Daphnia pulex: one gene and its partner. The protein of the gene in region 2 binds, or shares a complex with, the protein of the main gene of each other region. Links are inferred from orthologs where the notes say so. Each region holds a gene or a part of one and is shown on either strand. Other genes may lie near its edges.

The links. Proteins that work in one complex are often made in the same cells at the same time.
Region 1: ATP-dependent RNA helicase SUV3 homolog, mitochondrial-like (region 2) and polyribonucleotide nucleotidyltransferase 1, mitochondrial-like share a complex: the UniProt entries of both Homo sapiens proteins name them as parts of the mitochondrial degradosome (mtEXO) complex. The link is inferred for Daphnia pulex from reciprocal best matches to the Homo sapiens genes SUPV3L1 and PNPT1.

What each region holds. Positions count from the first base shown.
Region 1 is NC_060027.1:3,573,348-3,577,522, reverse strand, and holds the start of polyribonucleotide nucleotidyltransferase 1, mitochondrial-like, read right to left. Parts: upstream 2,801-4,175; 5' UTR 2,768-2,800; coding exon 2,628-2,767; intron 2,545-2,627; coding exon 2,270-2,544; intron 2,204-2,269; coding exon 1,564-2,203; intron 1,491-1,563; coding exon 1,317-1,490; intron 1,248-1,316; coding exon 1,045-1,247; intron 967-1,044; coding exon 806-966; intron 740-805; coding exon 428-739; intron 354-427; coding exon 1-353. UniProt on the Homo sapiens protein: RNA-binding protein implicated in numerous RNA metabolic processes. Catalyzes the phosphorolysis of single-stranded polyribonucleotides processively in the 3'-to-5' direction. Mitochondrial intermembrane factor with RNA-processing exoribonulease activity.
Region 2 is NC_060020.1:9,000,074-9,004,037, reverse strand, and holds the start of ATP-dependent RNA helicase SUV3 homolog, mitochondrial-like, read right to left. Parts: upstream 2,801-3,964; 5' UTR 2,662-2,800; coding exon 2,391-2,661; intron 2,326-2,390; coding exon 2,103-2,325; intron 2,039-2,102; coding exon 1,750-2,038; intron 1,665-1,749; coding exon 704-1,664; intron 642-703; coding exon 520-641; intron 445-519; coding exon 255-444; intron 170-254; coding exon 1-169. UniProt on the Homo sapiens protein: Major helicase player in mitochondrial RNA metabolism. Component of the mitochondrial degradosome (mtEXO) complex, that degrades 3' overhang double-stranded RNA with a 3'-to-5' directionality in an ATP-dependent manner.

The DNA.
Region 1 (4,175 bases), on a different chromosome or scaffold from region 2:
GCAACCGACTGAAGGACTTTACGCGACAACCGCATCCTGCCGCTAACTGGATCCCGGCCGAAATATTTAATAGAGATTTCATCTCCTACCTGAAGTCCTAGGGCAGATGGGTGGGCTACTTTCCGTACGTCCAGCTGTGAATTGTGAAGGAGTGTAGGAACCATTTTGGGGTAGAAGGTCACCAGCACACCAGTTTCCTTCATCTCGACGATACGCGCTTTGTAGATGGCGCCAAATTCTAGTTCCGGCTCTTTTTCTTCCTTCAGAAATTGTTCAATCATTTCCTTGGCTTCGTCCATCGCTGATTGATTGGGTGCGAAGATGGAAAACGTCAAGTCATCGATAGAGGTAATCTGTCAGACAAGAGAGAACAGTTGAATTATTGGAAAATTAGGAAAAAAGGAACGTGATAAAACGGGGTTTATACCTGAACTCCTGTTTCAGCAGTTAATTTCTTGAGGTTTGAACCACCAATACCGACAAATTTAGGTCGTTTGTGAGCTTCAATTTCCAGTTTTTCGGAGAGTGGCCAGATATCTTTCTTGTCATTACGCGGCTGTTTGATTGTCTGAGCCATTATGTCGAGTATGTGCGACTTGGCATCGCTAGCCTGAACCACCGACTCCATGATTATCTTTAAAGGTACACCAGGTAGTTTAAAATCTGCTTGGAGAGCCGTGATGCCTTTTTTGGTTCCGGCTAATTTGAAATCCATGTCTCCCAAATAGTCTTCAATGCCCTGTTGAAAATAAAAATTGAGATGATCAAGTTGAATTTGAAAAAGTTAATTCAAATAAAAATTTACCAGAAGATCGGTGAGAATGCGATAGTCGTCAATCTGTTTAGTTTCCGGGTTTACTCGACTGACCAAACCAACCGCTACTCCCGCTGCCGGCTGCAAAATTGGAACTCCAGCGTCCATCAGAGCCAGAGAACCTCCACAAACCGAGGCCATTGACGAAGAACCTGAAAAATTCACAGGTTAATATTCAAAAAAAGGCTTCGGAAATTTTTTATCAGCTTAAATAAATTTTCAAAACTGACCATTGGACTCTAAGACTTCAGAAGTCAAACGGATGGTAAACGGATAGTCGCTGGGCACCACAGGTCTGAGACCTTTCTCAGCTAAAGCTCCGTGGCCAAGCTCACGACGACCGGCGCTACCACCTGATCCGACTCTTCCTGTTTCGTTGGTTGCATAAGGCGGGAATTCGTAATGGAGGAAGAAATTCTTGGCTTTCAATCCACTGAAAACCAAAGAACATTACGAATGCAATCAAGTCATGAAATGTTGAATAGTACAAGAAAATGCCTACCCCATAAGAATGGAGACTGGATCGGATTTTAAGGCTGATTCCGGTGAATCGAAGGCTACAGTGCAAACGACTTGAGTTTGACCACGTTGGAAGATGGCGGATCCGTGTAGTGGTTTATACAAGTCAACACCACAAGAAATGTTACGAATGTCAGTCAACTTCCTCCCGTCACACCTTGAAAAACAGAGTAGAATATTAAAATTGAATCTTAATTTTATTGTTTTTAACCATTAATAAAAAAACCGACCTGATTTCTTCATCTAGAATAAGCTGTCGAAAGAATTCCTTGAAAAATTTATTAAAGGATTCGCTGATAATCATTGGATCCGTATCAGGAAAGCTGGTTCTTAGTTTTTCCATGACATCGTTTCGTACGGTGGCAACTGCAACGTCACGCGAAATCTTGTCGTGATTAAAATCGCGCAGAATGACCCGCAATCGATTTTCGCTCAATAGTTTGACGGCAGATAGCAACTCCTCCGAGCCAGACGGCAAGACGGTAAACTCCCGTTTGGGTTTCCCGGCATCTTTCCGCAATTTTTCGATTGCCTTGGCGATAGTTTGACATTCTTTCACTCCCGTTCTGATGGCTTTCAAAAAGTCTTGCTGGTACACATTTTCGGCTGAAGCTTCCAGCATGACGACCAAATTTGGGGAAGTGGAACTGACGACCAAGTTTAACTGACTGTGGGCCAACTCTCTTCTTGTGGGATTGATAACCACTTCATTGTCAATGAGACCCACACGAACTGCTGCCACAGGACCGTTCCAAGGAATGTCTGAGATGGCAAGTGCAGCAGAGGCAGCATTGATACTCAGCACTTCTGGATCGTTGACTCCATCGACAGATAGCAAGTTGCACACAACCTGAGTTTCATAGAAGTACCCTAAACAGAAATATTCACTTTAGTCTCGTCTGAAGGTGCACACCCAAATACATGATTAATACAAACCATCTGGGAAGAGTGGTCTAAGGGATCGGTCAATCATGCGACTAGTCAGAATCTCTCTTTCGGATGTCCCAAGTTCTCTCCTCAAGAAATTGGTGGGTATTCTGCCTGCTGCAGCGGCTTTCTGTCTGTAGTCAACGGTAAGAGGCAGGAATGAAGCTGGTGAGCTTTTGGCTTTACTCACAGCCGTAACCAATACGGCAGTATCTCCAAAGGATGCCACGGCGCTTCCATCGGCGAATCGAGCATATTTCCCCGATTGAAATACCAGTTTTTTCCTGTCAAAATCAATAGATATGAATGTAATAGTGGCTGGAACTTTCCTCTCGCAGCACTGAATGCTGTCCACAATTAAACATACCCTGAAGATAAAGGTACACTGACAGTGGATTCACATCTTTTGATGTAACTGGCACATATTCTACCGAAACGAACGCCGGAATATTGATTTACAAAAAGATTTTGTGAATAGAGCCGGCTCCTACTCACGTGGACAGCCATTTTCAACAGACGAAAACATTTTTCAAAACGAATACGGGCCGATAACAAAGACCTTTCTCACCCGACTTTTGATTTTTCCAAAAAAACGGATTTAAATCCTATTCATTTCCACATTAAATCATTATCGTGTAATACGCAGATATAAATAACGGTTATTCTATTTTTTTTTCTTTCTTTTTTAACTGCTGTCATAAATCTTAAAAAGTTGGAACGATTATAGCGTCGAAAGGATCAAGCCCCGAATGGTTCTCTCTCTCCCGAATTATAATCGCGTAACGACTTGGCCTAGCTGCTGATCGTTTCTTTCTCGACTGCTCCTTCCCTGTAATATCATTAATCTAGCCTTCGGTACAAGGAGTTGCCTGCCAACAGCAGCAGATCCTTCCAAAGTTGGATTTCTTCTTCTTCTTCTTGTTCCCCAAGTTTCTTTTGTTTTAATTCAAAACTTGAGCGGATATAATCGCCAGACACACAGCACACACCCCTCAGAAATTAAAGTGTACTCTCCAGAAAACTGAAGAGAATGACCTTTTCAAAAAAAAAGAAAAGAAAAACAAAAAAAAGATTCCCATGAAAACACTCGGGGACATGCTTATTATATAGTGAAAAGCAAAAGTCCAGCTCGAGTAAAGCCCTTTCCTTCCGTCCGGCTTTATTATAGCGGGAGGCTATTTTATACGTATACATCTCCGTATATATAATTTATGGAAACCGACGTCTGAGATGCTGTCCCTACTCTGAATATAATCCCGACTACAGGCAAAATAAAAATACGAATAATAATAATGAAAAAATAAAAGCAAAAAGAGAAAAATCATATTCTTCTTTTTTTTTGTTTTTGTTTTAAGAAAATAATGATTTTTGTCTGTAAGAAGGAGGAAACCCATTAACTGTCTGTTTGGCTTATGAAACAAGTCGTCACCCCCTTGACGTGTCAAAGATGGCGCTGGGCCACGAGAAACTTGAAAACAAAACCTGTATACTCTCTCTACACTCTGTTTTTAATATTATTCTTTTCTGGGGGGTTTTAGTTGTCTTTAAAAAATAAAATTAAAATTGTTTTCTTATCAAGACTAGTAGTATGCACTTACGACATTGGCTCTCGGCCTTTGGCTATCCATCAGGAGTGACCTAGCCCCCGTCCGGCCTTTTTGTATTCCATCAATCTTTTCGGATTCTTTTATTTTAATTCGTCTGAATCTCTTGGCCGAATGCAAATGCGCCTCAGTGTGTGTAGTACCAGCAACCAGCCAGTCACGTCCACCAGTACAATATTTGTTCGAATCATCCGATAGAGCCTTTTTTTTTTTATTTAGACAGTGCGCGACATGGCCAGCACAGCAGCAAACATGGCTTTTATATGGCGTCGCGTGCTGCTCCTTTCCGTCCTTGTGGGCTCCCAGTCGTC
Region 2 (3,964 bases):
GGACTAGTGACGGTGCCAACAGTTTCATGGGCCGTTTCATTGTCCTTTTCACGCTGCCACTCTGTTTTCAAATCCTCCAGAAGTTTAGGTGTCAGCAAACCTTCAGACAACAGGCGATCGGCTATCCTTCCATGAGATGATACGGAGTTCACGATATTGACTGCATTGTCTGAAAAAAAAAAAAAAACATGAAGGGAAAGATGCGTTAACCCAAATGAATGGAAAGTGAAATGGTTCTTGACAGAAATTCTTACGGAAATAGGGAGTTTTCTTAGCACTCGGAACATGTTGGTTTTCTTCAGCCTCGACCGCTTGACTCGTTCCACTGCTTACTCCGGTTTCCGAGTTTATTAATAGTCTAGTAAGCTGCGCCACACCTGTTTGAATTAAACAGTCAAGTTCCTTTTGCATATCTCGAACCAGAGAAGCGTCCGGAAACAAATCCTATTAAATGAATTAAGGTTGTTGTGTTTTAAATTCTTCCTATTTAAAAATTAATTCAATGTATGACATGCTTACCTGGAAGCGATAACTTAACCAAAGGTATAAATCGAGCACATCAAATACAGATTCAAGGTGAACTAATTCGAGCAACGTGTTGGGGCAAGAAAAAGGCAAGCCAATTTGCCGTCCCAACCAATCTGGTAAAAATTTGGGCATAAATAACAGCGGTTGTGTAATATAAATAATATAGTGTTGTTACCGAAGGAAAGGACTTCGTTCCTGCTGTACTGACGTGCAAACTTCAAAAACATGGAACAGACGAAAGGTATTTTCCTATTGATAGGAGCACAGCAAAATACATACCGAGCTCGCAAAGGTAGAGGAACGTGCTGAATCATGTCAGCCAAAAACTTGAAATCGTTAATGTTGCATATGAAATAAAGAGAATCGTCAAGTGTTGATAAATTGACGAATATATCAATCAAGTTCGATAGGTTAGCATGGGGCAAATGATAGGCATAGAGTTCGATTTGTTCGGCTGTTGGATGTAAACCAACTTGATTGATTGGCTCTGGATGTTGGGATAGAAGTCGTTTGAGTGTTGGCAAATCTTCATTTTTTAGAGTTGTTACATAGCCAGTCGAAAACTGGGTTCCATACCGGCCAGCTCTTCCGGCAATTTGCAAAGCCTGCGAAGTGCTTATAGTGTCCATTTCTTTCTCCCCTTTTTCATTTGTCGTAGGTTTGATGAGAGAATTAAATATAACGCGGCCAATATTCAGATTCAATCCCATGCCAATAGCATCAGTAGCAACCAGAACTTTACAGGGGTGATCGGGATCATTGAACTTCTTGGCTTGCGCTAATTTTGTTCCAGGTGGTAGTGATCCATAAATCACTGCGCATTCAATGCCCATAGCTTCAATTTGTCTCATAGACCAGAATATGTCTTGCTTGTTGAAACAAACTAAACAGTCTCCCGGCCTAATCTTATCTAAGGTTCCCAGAGAAGCATCTTCGATAATTAGCTCCGTAAGACGTTTATATCGACGCATCTCGATTTCTTCGCTGGCACTCATGAGAATTTCTTTTACAACATCAATTGCGGCGGCTTCACCACAAACGTGCACCTCTTCAGCAACTACACCCAATAATGCTCTTGTCCATGCCCAACCGCGACTAGGGTCCTTTAACATCTGAATTTCATCAATAACAGCAACCTATGAAAATTCAAGATTTCACCAACAATGTCAGAAATCACACGGTTAAATTGATAATTTAATTATATTGAAAAATTGTACATACTTCATATGGAGTGTTCACTGAGACCATTTCAACAGTGCAGGATACATGGGAAGAAGGAGATTTATCAGTAGCATTAGCAAAATTTCTTTCTTCTCCAGTTACTAAATCACATGGGACACCACGCTGATTACTTTTGTAATACACTTCAGATGCCAAAAGTTTTAAGGGACCACAATAAACTCCTGATTTTGAATTAAAAAACCTTTCAAGAGCATGATATGTTTTCCCACTATTTGTTGGGCCAGAATGAAATACAATTTTGCGTGTCAAAGCTCTTGCTTCAGGGTACCTAAACATATCAAAGAACCAAAATGAAATAAATCTTTACATAATCACATTTATCTAAATTTTACCAATTTGCAGGAAGTCGAAGATCAGAAATTTTTTTCAAATCATCAAGGCATTCTAAATGAGGAAAAGCTTGTTTTGCATGCCGAATAAAGTATGGTAACAAACTATCTAAATGACAAGCTCCTGCTATGATATCACTTAGGGTGACATGTAAATCAACTGGCAACTTGTCATCTTCAAGACAAAATTTTCTGAAACTGAGGTATGTCTGATGATATATGTAATCTGCAAATAATGCTTTTGTTTAGTTTTCATCACACAGAAAGATTAGTGACATAATAAACACATACTGTCAATTCCATTTTCCACAGCTGCAGCTTTAATTTCTCTTCGTTGATAGAATTTCGCTAACCATTTCATTATTTCTTCTTTGTTGAGTTTTCCAGTTAATTCAGCACCCACATTTGAACTATCTGGCACAGATTTGACAGGTAAAGGGACCATAAGTTGTGACACTGGAGGCATGGTCTTTTTTTGTCTTATTAGAATCCTGCAATAGTTAAAATTTGAAACATAAACACTGTGTTTCACAAGATACTTTATTAGGCCAGGCACAAGCATGTTGATTGATGATTTCTATTATAGTAATTGGACTTTAAGGTAGACACACTGTAGGCACTATATTTCATACATGGTGAGTTGGGAAAACCACATGGCCCTGCTGTATGTGGTTCCGGTAACTATGGGAACGCCGTACGTTAGCAGACGAAATTGCTACACGGCCATCTCTCCTGCACCGATAAACCCCGCCTAGTCACGTGATGGTTGCTTGTCTCTGATTGTTGCCTTTGTCGGTCCCTTTCTTTTTACTCCGCGTTTAGGGCAGGCTCCAAACAGAGTATAGGCCTAGTCGATTATTTGACACTCCCATAAAGACAGAGTAAATACGGAAATAGAATCCGGAAAGATCTATCCTGTGCAAAATCGCAAGACGATTCAAACGACACGAAGGGCACACGAAGTCCATATTTTTATCTTCTTTATTTAATACCGAGATAACCGGGATCCGGGATTGCAAATCGTGAAACATCACGAAAACACAAAGTCTCTCAAGGGCTCGTAAAAAGAATTATCGATAGGAAATGTAGCTTTTTCATCAAATCATTAAAATAAATCATTTTTCACCGTAAATGAAAAAGTCTAAGCTGATTTCAAACTTCGAATGTCTATTATATGAATATATAGAGAATATAATAGACTTTTTTTTCCTTTTTTGTATTTGAGGCATCGCGAACACAAAAAATCAAAGGAATGATCAATTAAGTTTAGTCTTATATTGAAAATAGGCCGGTTTTAGGCTTCCATATCTGGCTATCCAGATTCACTGAGAAAACGAAGACAGCAGAGACAGAAAACAGAACCTTGTTTAATTCATTTAAATAAATTTTGTGAAGTCAAAATCAACTTCGACCAAGTCTCCAGTGCCCCCGCCCTAGCGCCCCCGAAGAGTCCATTTATTTAGTCGTGCGCATTTACCATTTGGTTTGATAAAAACACGCGTCACACATTTAGCAACATTTAGTAGCTCTGCAATTTCCTATTCTTGATTCTTTTGCATAAGTCCGATGTTTCAACAGATAACCGACACAGGCACGCTGCTTTTATCCCCGGTTATTTCGTGACCGTTCGTGACCAATCCCGTTTATATTGATCCCACGAAAAATTTTGGAGAATTTTCCTTTACATAACAATTCCTTTACGCGTGCAGACTACTTTGGCTACAATTGACACACAAGTTTATGTTCCAGCAAGCCTAAGTGACATTTGTTTCTGATTTTCAAGCTCGTTGAATCAAAGAGAAATTGGTGAGATTAACAAACAAAGGTGAGTTTTATATGTGCATTTCAAAACTGGAGATCATTTT